3 linked regions of the Arabidopsis thaliana genome follow. The protein of the gene in region 1 purifies or fractionates together with the protein of each later gene. This does not show direct contact. Each region holds a gene or a part of one and is shown on either strand. Other genes may lie near its edges.

Region 1 (5,191 bases):
ATCATTTATTTTTTCAATTTGTTTTCATGTTTTAATTTATGGTATGTTTACAAATTTTAACAAAGCATATGTTAATCCCCAAAAGTTACAGCTGTATCTGGTATTGTGTTTAAAGATAAGTAAAAATGAACTCGGAACATGATATTTAATGTAATATAACGAGAATAGGAATGACGAAAAAGGAACGACATAGAAGGAGCCAACACGGGATAAAAACATAGCTTTTAGATTACAACAAGTTACAATTTAAGCAAATTAACGTTTGCAATCAAATATGTAACATGTGTTTTCAATTTATACAGCATAAAAATGCTCAAAATAATAAATGTTATTATAGTATGCTTTATAATAGTTAAAATTTAAAAATAAACAAATGTAATTTAATATTTATGAACAAAATATTAAACAATAAGAAGAAAGAAGTCAATTAATTTTGTAATATTTTTATTATATCATATCATATAAAAATATACATGAATTATATTTGTGTTTGTCCCAAACAGGATATAGAGAATTTTTGCTTCCATCACGTTCTGTTTCTAATCGGAATACAAATTTTTTCTCATATTAGAAATGCATTCTCTTATGAGAAATAAATTGGAGAACGAGTAAGATATAATGGAACATGATAAAATTGAATGAGAATTACGCCTATCTCTAAATATTTATATTTCTCGCAAACGTATTTAATCATTTTAATGGTTTTATATACGGTTTGATAGTTTACAAGTTTAATAAAAATCTACCTGACCATTAACTCGAATCAGTTTGATCTCGGTTCGACCGTTTGATTGTTATGAACTTTAAAATACTACTAAAATCATTATTATTTCAAATATTTCAACCAACTAATATAGTTTAGGTTATATATATACTATAACTATATAAATAATTTTTAACATCAATCTAACTTATATTATATTTTAATTTAAGATTTTTTTTTCTAATTTACTCTTCAGTTTCAAACTCCAAAAATGGACTTATGGTTGCTCTTATGTCATAAACAAACATAAATAATATTTTATATTTTTATGTGTACATTATAATTATTCAATACAGTATATATCACTAAAATAACAAAATAATTATATATTTAATAAAAATTTATTACAACACATTTCTTAATATATGAAGATGTACTATTATTTGCAAATACAAAATATGTTAAATAGTGTTTTAGTTAATTAGAAAATAACAAAAATTAAAGTAATTTTTCTCAAAATAATAATTATTTAAAGATTAATTGCTTAATTATTTGAATTTTATAAGAATTTCCTTTTAATGTGTATTATATATATGTATGAATAAGACTAATTGAAAAATCTGTAATAATCTAGTAAAATTTGGACAATTATTTAAATGGATTAGAATCACAACATGACGGTTTCGTTAATAACACGCCAATATAAATATTTTATTAAAAAAACTTCTCAATTAATATATAGAATATACATATATTTATTATTTACAAATATTTTTATATATTGAAGCTAGAAAATAAAAAAATTATGAAATTGTTTGGTGCACCAATAAAGAAAATATTTAGTTTTTTTTTTTTTCTAAACTAAAACATTTCTTATTATCTATCTAAATACGATTCAACAAATAGTAAAAATAATATGCATAATATAAATCATCAAACCTAATAAAAAGTAATAAATCTTCTATAAAATCTCCTATTTTCTAAAAAACTCTCTACAAAAGAAGTATTAATTTTTTTTTTCGAAGGATTTTATTAGTTATAAAATAAATTTAACAGAAAGAGGCACAAATACCAATAGGAGTTGGAAAACTAAAACAACGAGTGGTGTTGCTCTCTCCATCTTCCTCTTCATCTTCTTCTGTTCTCTCTCTATAAATACAAGTTTACTCTTCCTCTTCCTCAAATCTCTGACTCTTCTCTGCATTATCTCTTCGATCTCTCCAACTCTCCAAAACCTTCCTCAGGTAAAAGATCCAATCTTCCTTACAATTCCACTAATCTAGGGTTTTAAAATCCCAGATTCCTGAATCAAAACTTCTCTGAGATCCGAATTTCGCAATTCTGTGTTTTTGGCTAATTTACGCCTCGCAATTTTGTGTTTTTCGCTAACTTACGCCGAATCCAATGCATCCTCTGTCAAAACTCTCTAAATCCCAAATCTTTTTACAGAAATTTATCACAAATTAGGATTCCACAGTGATTTCTAGCTTTCGCATGAGAGATCTTATTGTGTTTAACATATTTCTTTGCAATTTTGTGTGTTTTTGGCTAACTTAAGCGTCGCAATTTTGTGTGTTTTCACTAACTTACACCGAATCCAATGCATTCTCTGTCAAAACTCTCTAAATCCCAAATCTTTTTACAGAAATTAATCACAAATTAGGATTCTACAGTGATTTCTAGCTTTTGCATGAGAGATCTTATTGTGTTTAACAGATTTGTTTTGCAATTTTGTGTGTTTTTGGCTAACTTACGCCTCGCAGTTTTGTGTTTTTCGCTAACTTACGCCGGAATCCAATGCATCAATAATCTTACCTCTGTCAAAACTCTCTAAATCCCAAATCTTTTTTATAGAAATTTATCACAAATTAGGACTCTACAGTGATGTCTAGCTTTTGCATGAGAGATCTTATTGTTTTTAACAGATTTGTTTTGTTAATGTAGAATGGGAACTACCAATGGAACAGACTATGGAGCATACACATACAAGGAGCTAGAAAGAGAGCAATATTGGCCATCTGAGAATCTCAAGATATCAATAACAGGAGCTGGAGGTTTCATTGCATCTCACATTGCTCGTCGTTTGAAGCACGAAGGTCATTACGTGATTGCTTCTGACTGGAAAAAGAATGAACACATGACTGAAGACATGTTCTGTGATGAGTTCCATCTTGTTGATCTTAGGGTTATGGAGAATTGTCTCAAAGTTACTGAAGGAGTTGATCATGTTTTTAACTTAGCTGCTGATATGGGTGGTATGGGTTTTATCCAGAGTAATCACTCTGTGATTATGTATAATAATACTATGATTAGTTTCAATATGATTGAGGCTGCTAGGATCAATGGGATTAAGAGGTTAGTTAGATTTTGTTTTCTTCGGTTTTCGCAGTTTACGGTTTCTTAAAACAAGTTAAAAAGATTGGATTTTTTGTTTGCTTTAGGTTCTTTTATGCTTCGAGTGCTTGTATCTATCCAGAGTTTAAGCAGTTGGAGACTACTAATGTGAGCTTGAAGGAGTCAGATGCTTGGCCTGCAGAGGTTTGTGATTATTTTTTATATGTTCTTGCTAAAGATTTATGAGTCTTTTCTTATGTGATGTTTTGATGCTGATATAGCCTCAAGATGCTTATGGTTTGGAGAAGCTTGCTACGGAGGAGTTGTGTAAGCATTACAACAAAGATTTTGGTATTGAGTGTCGAATTGGAAGGTTCCATAACATTTATGGTCCTTTTGGAACATGGAAAGGTAGTATACAGATAAACAGTTTCCGTACTTTGTGTGAATGATTAGTTGTTTACTATTGGGATTAATATTTGCTTGGATCAACTTAGGTGGAAGGGAGAAGGCTCCAGCTGCTTTCTGTAGGAAGGCTCAGACTTCCACTGATAGGTTTGAGATGTGGGGAGATGGGCTTCAGACCCGTTCTTTTACCTTTATCGATGAGTGTGTTGAAGGTGTACTCAGGTGAGGGTATCTCCTGATGTTGATGAAGTTGTATGTTAGACGTAATTGGCTGATATTTTCGTCATTTTTGTTTTATAGGTTGACAAAATCAGATTTCCGTGAGCCGGTGAACATCGGAAGCGATGAGATGGTGAGCATGAATGAGATGGCTGAGATGGTTCTCAGCTTTGAGGAAAAGAAGCTTCCAATTCACCACATTCCTGGCCCGGAAGGTGTTCGTGGTCGTAACTCAGACAACAATCTGATCAAAGAAAAGCTTGGTTGGGCTCCTAATATGAGATTGAAGGTACCAACATTATTTACTTAAGTAGCTCAAAGACAAGATAATAATCTAATTCTTTTATTACTGATATTGTTTTGACCATAATCGTTAAACAGGAGGGGCTTAGAATAACCTACTTCTGGATAAAGGAACAGATCGAGAAAGAGAAAGCAAAGGGAAGCGATGTGTCGCTTTACGGGTCATCAAAGGTGGTTGGAACTCAAGCACCGGTTCAGCTAGGCTCACTCCGCGCGGCTGATGGAAAAGAGTGAAGTTCACCAAAGTATAAGTCAAGCTCAAATATGGCCTTTTAAGTTCAGCAAAATGTTTAGATATATTTTTAGGTAGCTTCCTATTAAAAAAGCAATAATAAGTGTTTTGGATTTTGGTTCCTTCTATTCTGCTAATCCTTGTTTATGTTTAGTTGAAAAAGTTTGCTTGCATTGTTAAGTCTGTTATCATATTATTGTGGTCCTTTCATTCACAGTATGTATGTTTATCATCATAGTCAAGTTGATGTCGTGGTCCTCTCACGGACCAGTACAAGTAAGTGGCTTGTGTTTTTTCTTGCATCTTATCATCTATTCACACATCTCTAGAGGTTAGGGATCACTCACGGTGACTCACCATTCTTTCTCTTCCATCCACTTCTTTATCCCATTCCTCGGTCAAAAATGTCACACGTAATAAATCATAAGGTTTTAAGTTTATATATTGCTTTTTTTATGCAACTCTCCCGATCAGCAAAATATCTAAAATTTGAGATTTTTATCCATGTTCTAAGATTTGGTCTTAGACTCGAGATGATCCGAAAAATAACGTATTTACTATTTTAAATTTTGAATATACATTTTATCAAAAAACAAATATGAGATAAGGACGATATTATTATAACATAACATATAATGTTTTTTTATTATTTTAAATAATATCAAAGGAAATAAAGCTTAAACTTAATCCAAAACTAAGAAAAAAACCACTAAATCAAAAGGAAAAGCATAGTAAAATCTCAAAACAATTAAGCAACTTTCGGCTCAATTGTTAGCTTCTTTGAATATATATGTTATCAGTGTTTTTTCAAAAATCTTTGACGTTAGCATCATACTACAAATATTCATTTATGCATCTAAAATAAGACAATCGATATATTTCAAATCATCAACTCAACAATCACCCAATTTTTTGTTGTGGTTTTGCTCTTGCTCTCACTCTTCTTCGTGTCGCTTCTCAAATGAGCCCAAATCACCTTTTATATCATATGC
Region 2 (4,364 bases), about 13 Mb from region 1:
TTTAGTTTCGACTTTGATGTTCGGTATTGTTTGTTTTTTTCGCCATTTCTAGTAAATAGTAATAATATAGTTGTGCTACAAATTGTAGCCTACAATGTACAATTGTATGTAAGAAATAGTTGGCACATACATCAAAGTATCAATTATCATACATCCACTTACTAGTGCTATTGTGAAGATAAACGTTTAGAAAAACACATACAAGGGTACTTAGAAATGAGGCATAAAAGATAAAATCTGATATTCAATGCAGGAACAGCTCATGGTCAGAGGAAATTAAATGGTGAAAGAGAGATAGAGAAGTGCTTAAAACATGGTGTTATTTGTGGTGGAGCCTTTCGAATTATAGGTTTAGGGTCCATACAAATTTGTTGGGTCCAAAATTAACTAACTAGTTTTTACTTCTTAGAAGCACCACATGATTGTTCCCTTTGCTGCAACACCAAACATGTCAATTACAGATTGTGTAACCTGCTGGCCACAAATCCATTTCGGATGATTGAAGATGAAAGCAAGGATACTAATTTGATGCCGAATACTATTATCTTAAACCAAATTGACACAGTAAAGAGACGACACAATAGTCAAACACTTACACAGCAACAACATAAAAAAAAATCTTAAGATTCTCTTTCTCTAACACAGCGCAAAGACTCAAACTTTTGAAGCTACCATCATGTTCAGTGCCAAGTATAATATATTAAAATAAAGCAAAGCACACTTAGTGATGCCAACAACCAATTTTAATTTGATCACTTAAGTGCTTGCCTCTGTTTTCTTCTCTTCTTCTACCTTCTCCTTTTTTGTTTCTTTATCTTCCTTTGCAGGCTCTTTCTCTTCTGCTTCCTTGGCTTTCTCCTCACTTATATTTTCCTCAACCGAAAGATTCTCTATTAAACCAGCAGCCTCGTCGCCCTGGGTGCTCTCTTTCCCTACTTGCTGGCTTTCAGCTATTTCAGTGAACTTCTCCATAAATGTTTTGCAATCTGTTGATGCAACACTATCAGTTAGCCACTCGAGAATCTAAAACCAAAAAGACAGATGCAGACCCTAGGATATTAATCTCATAGATTATGTCAGCGTCTAATTTAACATAGATACGATTATGGTAGTTGTTTAGCACAACTTAAGGATCATGGAACCCTTTTGTTCATTTGTTTAGTGATAAGACCCACAACCGCAGAGACCAACAGAGTCTTGGAAAATGGCCTGAGATGTTTATTCTCAAGACAACAATGTCTCCCTAAAATTATAAAATGAGGCAACATTATAAGTATTGCCACTACAAAAGCAGTATTCCATTTCAGTCTTGAGCTATCTATATGGACTTGATGAATCACAATTCATGGGAGACTTAAATCATCACAACTAGAGTCTTATAAAGAATACCTTCCAAACCATCTTCCCTGATTCAACTATCATAAATTAAACATCGAATACTACTAAATGTACCCACGTTACTCTCAATCAAAAACAAGTATACGAATTTCACAAGTATAAACTTACTCTCAATGGAAGCAAATCGAATGCAGAAAAGCTCATCTTTCAACTCGCCGTCGGAGAAATCAGTAGCGTGCCATAAACAAGACTTTTCATTCCCACTATGTTCCTGAACACTCATCCCAGACGAAACTGCATAATTTCAACAAAAGATACATAAAGTTTAGCCCTTTCGAAGAAAAAAAAAAAAGATCTTCTTCGAGAGAGAATCAAACATACTGAGGTGATTGGCACAGATCTTTAGGGTTTTAGATTGTCTCATAACAAGACGAACTTTTCCAGTTTCCTTATGCTTCAATAACTTCACAGTTCCAGCTCCTCTCTCCTTCCATTGGTTCCCTTCTTTATCGAATCGATACATCTTCGATTTCCTACAAAATCATAAACCCAGAAGAATACATCTTCTATCAAAAATCCGACACTCATCTTCTATCGAAAATCCAACACTCACTTTAACCAGAGGCAAGGAAACTAGAATATTAACGGAACGAGTAACATACAGATCGAGGACGGCGTCTTCATCTTCTTCGCCGGTGGTGACTGCAACCTCTTCAAGCCTAACGATCGGAGCTACCTGAGCTCCGGTGTCTTCATCTTCGTTGACTTCGGTTTCATCTTCACGGTTCTCACGCTCTGGCTCAGTGCTCGCCATCTCTGTATTGAAACTTGAAAGTGTGTGTGTGTGCTCTGCAACTTCTTTGGTTGTTCAATTTGGGAGAAGAAGTTTCGAGAACCAGAAGAAAAAACTGGAACCAGGGTTTTTAAACTTTATATCCAAAGTTAGGCTTCTGAATTATCTCTAGTGGGCTAACAGGTCATTATCTCGGTCATTTAAGCCCATTAAGGCCCTATACGACAATTCATGATTTTGGTATGTAGATGAAGCTAGAAAGTGTGAACTCGTATCGACAATATAGAGGATGAAACATCATGGCTAAGGAACGCCACAGCTCAAAGACCTGTAATGAGTAATGTACCATATTTAAATTATGTATAATCTCTTTACAAAACTAAAAGTAATACAGATACTCCACATTTATCTTGGAGTAGAATGTAGATGATGCTCTATGAATGTACTCCATCCTTAACACATACGAAAAAAATTTGAACTGCTTTTTTTTTCTCAGTCGTGGACTGCCTTTGTAGTGTTAAGGTAGACCACCGTGACAATCTTTATATATGAACGGAGGTGGATTATTTATTTATTAATTTTTTTTTTTTTGAGAGGTGGATTATTTACAAATGGATATTATATAATGTAATCAATCATGCTTTGATATCAAGCTGATGTCACTCGACACTAGTATTCAATCAACTACTGCCGATGCTAGTACAATGTAAGCTGAATATGAACATTTATAAATTTTGGAAACGTGTTAAACATTCAATTAACAAATTTTTTTTTTGACCTGTTTTTTATCGTAACAAAATACCACTTGTTTGCCTTCTCGTTACAGTAGGAAAAAGAAACGTTTTCATTGTCGACGACTCAAAGAGTAGAACCTGAAGTCCGATAACAGTCGATAGGTAGTAAGATATTTTGACCAAAACATCGTGAATTTATTGAAATGCTGAACGAAAACTGATACAACATCATTTCATGGACTCGAGAACTCTTATTACTGGCACGGTAATATTGAATATTGATGCTAAAGTCAAAAGGGACCCGCTTAGTCATTTGTCTGATTTCCAATTTTAAAATCCGTTTTTGAATGAAGCTGCGTTGTTTCAATGACAAATCTTCGTGTTTGTATAATTTAGGGTCTGAAATAAATAGTCAACAAGCAAAACCCAAAACGATATGAACTGGAAGGTTGTGTCAGATTACAAATGAATCATCAAAGGGATTAAAATCCTCAGACAGGGATAACTGTTTTTTCATATTTGTTCTCATCATCCACAATCTAATTTCATTAAATCAAAAAGAGAAAACATAATTCCTTAGAATTCAAAGATTAGCCTCAGCAGTCCTAGTCAAGAAGATAGTATATCAACACACTTATTGAAATTTCAGTAACCATTAATATCTAATCTTCATCAGCCTCTTTATCAGATTAAACAAAAAAACATTAACCAACAAAAACAAATTGAAGTTGTTAAATCATATTAGAAAGAAGAACTCAGTCCCTTAGATGTTCATAATAATGCGATCATTACCGCAATCATTACAGGTCTGTAAACTGACTCATCACTGTTCTTCCAAAAACTTATACAAAAACCCAAATCTAGATTTCAATACGAATAATATATAGCTGCTCAGTTGTGATTCTCCCAAATCAACATCAGCAAAAATCGTATAAATACGAAATCACCGAAGATTCATAGGGAGAATTATATAAATAACGAAAGCAACACGATTGATTTTGCTTCAAGGGAACGAATCATATGGGAACGAACAAATCCACATAGACTATCTGATGAAGCCAATCTTTCAATAAACATAAATCATGATAATCCTAGACAAAAGGCAAGCCCAATAACAACAATAGAGAGAACACCAAACCCTATGAAAACTACAGGATTAAAAACGAAGCTTTTCAGTGAATTGATTTTGGATTGCTTCTTCTTAAACTCTAAAGTTGGATTTCCTCTATTTATAGTAGAGAGGTTTTGAGAAAACCCTAAAAGGCTTTTTTCCAATAAGCCCATCGAATGTATTTTTTTAAAAGCCCAATACTGTTTGTTTTGGGCTTGCCATTGTTAAATTTCTTGTTACTATGCTTTGTTTGCATGGAATAAAAATTATAATTCATTTGAAAGAAAATTTCCTCAAAAAGTTTATACAATTGACTGATTCCGTGATTAATCTTAAGATTCTCTCTTCGAATGTGTTAAAATATTACTAACCGAATAATTTGATGGAA
Region 3 (4,531 bases), on another chromosome or scaffold:
GTTCGTGGTGCGTGTATCGGCAGAGGTTGTTTCGGTGCAGTTAGTACGGCGATCAGCAAAACCAACGGTGAAGTTTTCGCCGTGAAATCCGTGGATCTCGCCACGAGTCTCCCCACTCAATCAGAGTCTCTCGAGAACGAAATATCTGTCTTCCGCTCGCTAAAGCCTCACCCTTACATCGTGAAGTTTCTCGGCGACGGAGTCTCGAAAGAAGGAACGACGACGTTTAGGAATCTCTACTTAGAGTATCTCCCAAACGGTGACGTGGCTAGTCACAGAGCCGGAGGAAAAATCGAAGACGAGACTCTGCTCCAGCGTTACACGGCGTGTCTTGTCTCTGCTCTCCGCCACGTACACTCTCAAGGATTCGTTCACTGCGACGTCAAGGCGAGGAACATCCTCGTCAGCCAAAGCTCCATGGTCAAGTTAGCCGATTTTGGGTCGGCGTTCAGAATCCACACACCGAGGGCTCTGATCACGCCACGTGGAAGTCCGCTTTGGATGGCTCCGGAGGTGATCAGACGAGAGTACCAAGGTCCGGAGAGTGACGTCTGGTCTCTCGGCTGCACGATCATCGAGATGTTCACTGGGAAACCCGCTTGGGAAGACCACGGAATTGACTCGCTGAGTCGAATCAGTTTCTCTGACGAGTTACCGGTTTTCCCCTCGAAGTTGTCGGAAATCGGCCGTGATTTCCTAGAAAAGTGTCTGAAGCGAGACCCGAATCAGAGGTGGAGTTGCGATCAGCTTTTGCAGCATCCATTTCTCTCTCAGTGTCACAACTCATCTCCGACTGAGTCATCTCCGCGTTGCGTACTTGACTGGGTCAACTCGGGGTTTGACTTAGAAGAAGAAGAAGAGGAAGTAGGGAGATCAGAATTCGAAGACGCGGCGAAGGCAATAATTTGTAATTTGGCGACGACCGGAGGAGTAATTTGGGAGTCAGATGGTTGGGTGGAAGTTAGATGCCACGCTTCGGAAGAGGAAGGGACAACAATGGAATATTCGGGATCCACAAGGGTAGAATCGGAATATAACACATCATCGGATCCAAACGATGACGTGGCTGGTGACTCGGCGATAATTGACGTTTCTATGTCTCAGAATTTACCGCCTGGAAACGGGGGATCGGCGGCGGCGCTGCCATATGAATTTGTGGTGGTTTTACATTTATTAATGGAAATTATGGTTTATACTACATGTATCTTTAGGGAAATTGTTCTCACTATGTATTTGTTGTATCAGTATAATCAAAGCAATAAACTCGAAACGTTGTCTTTTAATCACAGCCTCAAGTTTTGTTTGTTTGCACATGTGATTCGGATCGGACAAAACTATCTTTTACGCGGTGAGATGAGATCGAGTGTCTTAATTACGAGCCATTGCCTTATATTGATAACTCTCGTTTACAGCCAAATAGTTGTATTTTAATGTGAAAAAATATTGCGACAAATGGTTTTGGTTCGTAAGCTGGTGGAAGACTCAAGAGGCCAAAAGAGACTTTGGTTTTATGCTTTAGAAGACTTTTGATTCATCCTAATAAGTATTCGGATTTTGGAGCATTTAAATGAATCATAGAGGGAACCGGACCGGTTGAAGATGGTTGTTTGTTTCGACTAGGCCTGAAGGACCAAGGTTATGCATGTACGATTATGTATCAAACTGAACGAAGTCGTTACATAGAGTTTAGCTCAAGCATATCATCATATTCTTTTTTCGATCTTTAAGATTTTTCTCTAATCTCTATGCTATAAATCATTAAGATTTCTCTAAAAAAGGATTAATTTCCCTTGAGATAAATAGCTTTAAAAATAACCCAGATACAATGGGTTTATATGGGCCATATATATTTTTTGTCATAAGAAATCGGCCCATAGTTAGCTTCAATTCAACGCCGTATAACTATGAGTCGTTCCGATTTCCTGTGTTGCGAAACCCCCAAATTCTCTTCTCTCTATCTCTCTCGCGTACGCCGCACCGTAGCGACCAATTGAATCCACGAGGAAATCTCAGTAAATACTATGGCGACCAACGAACCCGAGCACGAGCACAGAGACGAGGAAGAGGCCGGAGCTAACGAGGATGAGGACACCGGAGCTCAGGTCGCTCCGATCGTTAGGCTTGAGGAGGTTGCCGTCACTACCGGCGAGGAAGACGAAGATGCCGTCCTTGATCTGTAAGTGTTTTTCTTAATTGGTGTTTATAGTTTTTCTGATCTAGGTCAACTGGATCTGATCGAATTTATAAGGTTTAGCTTTTGGTGTGTTTGACTGAATTTTTGTTTGTGAATCTAAAGGAAATCGAAGCTTTATCGATTCGATAAGGATGCGAATCAGTGGAAGGAGAGAGGAGCTGGTACTGTGAAGTTCTTAAAGCATAAGAACACTGGGAAGATTCGTCTCGTTATGAGGCAATCTAAAACTTTGAAGATCTGTGCTAATCACTTCGGTATAATTTCTATTTGGACTACTTTGTGTTGTTTTTGAGTTGCATCTGGATCTGTATTTAGGTTACTGTTTCCTTATCTAGTCTTATGCTTCTGATATTTCTGCAGTTAAATCGGGCATGAGTGTTCAGGAACACGTTGGGAATGAAAAGTCATGTGTGTGGCACGCTCGTGACTTTGCTGATGGTGAACTCAAGGATGAGCTTTTCTGTATCCGATTTGCTTCTATTGAGAGTGAGTATGAAACCGAATTTTGTAATGGCTTGTGTTTTGCCTTATTTAGTCTCAGTTGGTTTGATAGATTCACGGATTAGATTACTGATGGATCTTGACCTTAGCATTGCTATATGGCTACTTTGTTAATTGGAGGTTCTCAAAGCTTCCATCATAGGCATGCGTTATTGGGTTCAGGAAATATCAAAATAAGTACTGTGGCGGTTAGGTTGTGGTATTGCATTGTAAAGAGATAATATTGTTCTTGAGGTGGTCAAGTATGTATTTAGGCTGCAACTAATTTGATATGCCAACATGGTCGACTGTTTCTTTTTTTATTTTGGGTAAATATTATCAGTAGTTTCTGAGCTGTTGATCATATTAACCGGGAAAAGTAGAGATGCTTGTGGGTAATCAAATCTTATTTTCCTTGTCAGATTGCAAAACATTTATGCAAAAGTTCAAGGAAGTTGCTGAGTCTGAAGAAGAGAAAGAAGAGAGCAAAGATGCCGCTGACACTGCTGGCCTTCTTGAGAAATTGACTGTGGAAGAGACAAAAACGGAGGAGAAAACCGAAGCGAAAGCTGTGGAGACGGCAAAGACTGAAGTGAAAGCAGAAGAAAAGAAAGAGAGCGAGGCAGAGAAATCTGGTGAAGCAAAGAAAACAGAAGAAAGTGGTCCCTCAACATAAGAAGCGTCATCATTTAAGTTGCCAAATCCTGGCGAGGTAATTAAGCCTCGAAATGTTTTGATGCATCATGAGTCTACCATTGTCTTGGCACTATCTATCTATACATGTTTTGTCGAGTCATATCAAGTGGTTGGGGGATCGCTTGGGGTCGGGTTTTACTGAATGCTGAGTCGTTATGGGTCTAATAGTTTTTGAGTCTAAAGTGTCGGGTGATATGAGAGATTTGGGTGAAATATTTTTTCATGTTGGTTATCTGAAAGAGTACATTGGTTTCATTGTTTTAAGTTTTCTCATGGATCCTTTTTGGATGGTCTTATTTTGAGGATACAAATGTGTTTGTCCATGGACAAGAATCAGAAGTCTCCATTTTTTTTTTTTCAAAATTTAATGCATGTGATTTTTTAATCTTAAGGTAATTGCCAATTGTTTGACAAAAAAAAGGTAATTGCCAATCTACTTTGCTCTCTTGTGTTAGTCGATGCTAGTCTTGACCCTGATAAAGATCCAAAATGTATATTAACAGTATTCATAAAATTCTTCAGTTATAACGAACTGTTCACGGAAAAAAAATGACATTGTACTATACTGTGCTAAAATTACCAAAGCATGATTTATATAAATCATATCCAGTAAGACCATATGTGAATGAATAACAATGGATTATGCTTAGGTTAAGATTTTATTAAATTTATAACACTTTTAAAATAAATTTGGAATAATACAAACATATAAACCATTCCTATAACACCATATTTAAACATAACAATGAATTGCTTGGATTTCAAACTTTATTAAATTTGGATTTTAAATTTTAATTTGATTGAATTATACCCCCTTAATTGGATAAATTCAAATATGTCAACTTTTTTTTTTTGTAAGATTTTTTTATGGAAAAAAAAATTGATTATTCACTAAAAAGATGACAGGTTACTTATAATTTAATATATGTAAACCCTAAAAAGAAGAAAATAGTTTCTGTTTTCACTTTAGGTCTTATTATCTAAACTTCTTTAAGAAAATCGCAATAAATTGGTTTGAGTTCTAACTTTAAACACATTAATATTTGTGTGCTATTTAAAAAATAATTTACAAAAAAAAAAACAAATTGACAGAAAATATCAGGTTTTGTAATAAGATATTTCCTGATAAATATTTAGGGAATATAACATATCAAAAGATTC

What was found. Proteins that work in one complex are often made in the same cells at the same time.
Region 2: the proteins of GME (region 1) and RANBP1 fractionate together in Arabidopsis thaliana (co-fractionation; one large-scale study listed by BioGRID). This does not show direct contact.
Region 3: the proteins of GME (region 1) and SIRANBP fractionate together in Arabidopsis thaliana (co-fractionation; one large-scale study listed by BioGRID). This does not show direct contact.

Annotation. Positions count from the first base shown.
Region 1 is NC_003076.8:10,861,482-10,866,672, reverse strand, and holds GME (GDP-D-mannose 3',5'-epimerase), read left to right. Parts: upstream 1-1,726; 5' UTR 1,727-1,947; intron 1,948-2,628; exon of another isoform or gene 2,629-2,647; 5' UTR 2,648-2,648; coding exon 2,649-3,058; intron 3,059-3,144; coding exon 3,145-3,241; intron 3,242-3,318; coding exon 3,319-3,448; intron 3,449-3,534; coding exon 3,535-3,667; intron 3,668-3,745; coding exon 3,746-3,953; intron 3,954-4,045; coding exon 4,046-4,201; 3' UTR 4,202-4,657; downstream 4,658-5,191. UniProt on the Arabidopsis thaliana protein: Catalyzes a reversible epimerization of GDP-D-mannose that precedes the committed step in the biosynthesis of vitamin C (L-ascorbate), resulting in the hydrolysis of the highly energetic glycosyl-pyrophosphoryl linkage.
Region 2 is NC_003076.8:23,679,563-23,683,926, forward strand, and holds RANBP1 (RAN binding protein 1), read right to left. Parts: upstream 2,374-4,364; 5' UTR 2,153-2,373; coding exon 2,001-2,152; intron 1,872-2,000; coding exon 1,720-1,871; intron 1,633-1,719; coding exon 1,507-1,632; intron 987-1,506; coding exon 757-986; 3' UTR 501-756; downstream 1-500.
Region 3 is NC_003070.9:2,191,179-2,195,709, reverse strand, and holds SIRANBP (Pleckstrin homology (PH) domain superfamily protein), read left to right. Parts: upstream 1-1,873; 5' UTR 1,874-2,021; coding exon 2,022-2,176; intron 2,177-2,296; coding exon 2,297-2,448; intron 2,449-2,554; coding exon 2,555-2,680; intron 2,681-3,096; coding exon 3,097-3,350; 3' UTR 3,351-4,031; downstream 4,032-4,531. Other genes in the region: MAPKKK13 (mitogen-activated protein kinase kinase kinase 13), read left to right, coding at 1-1,431.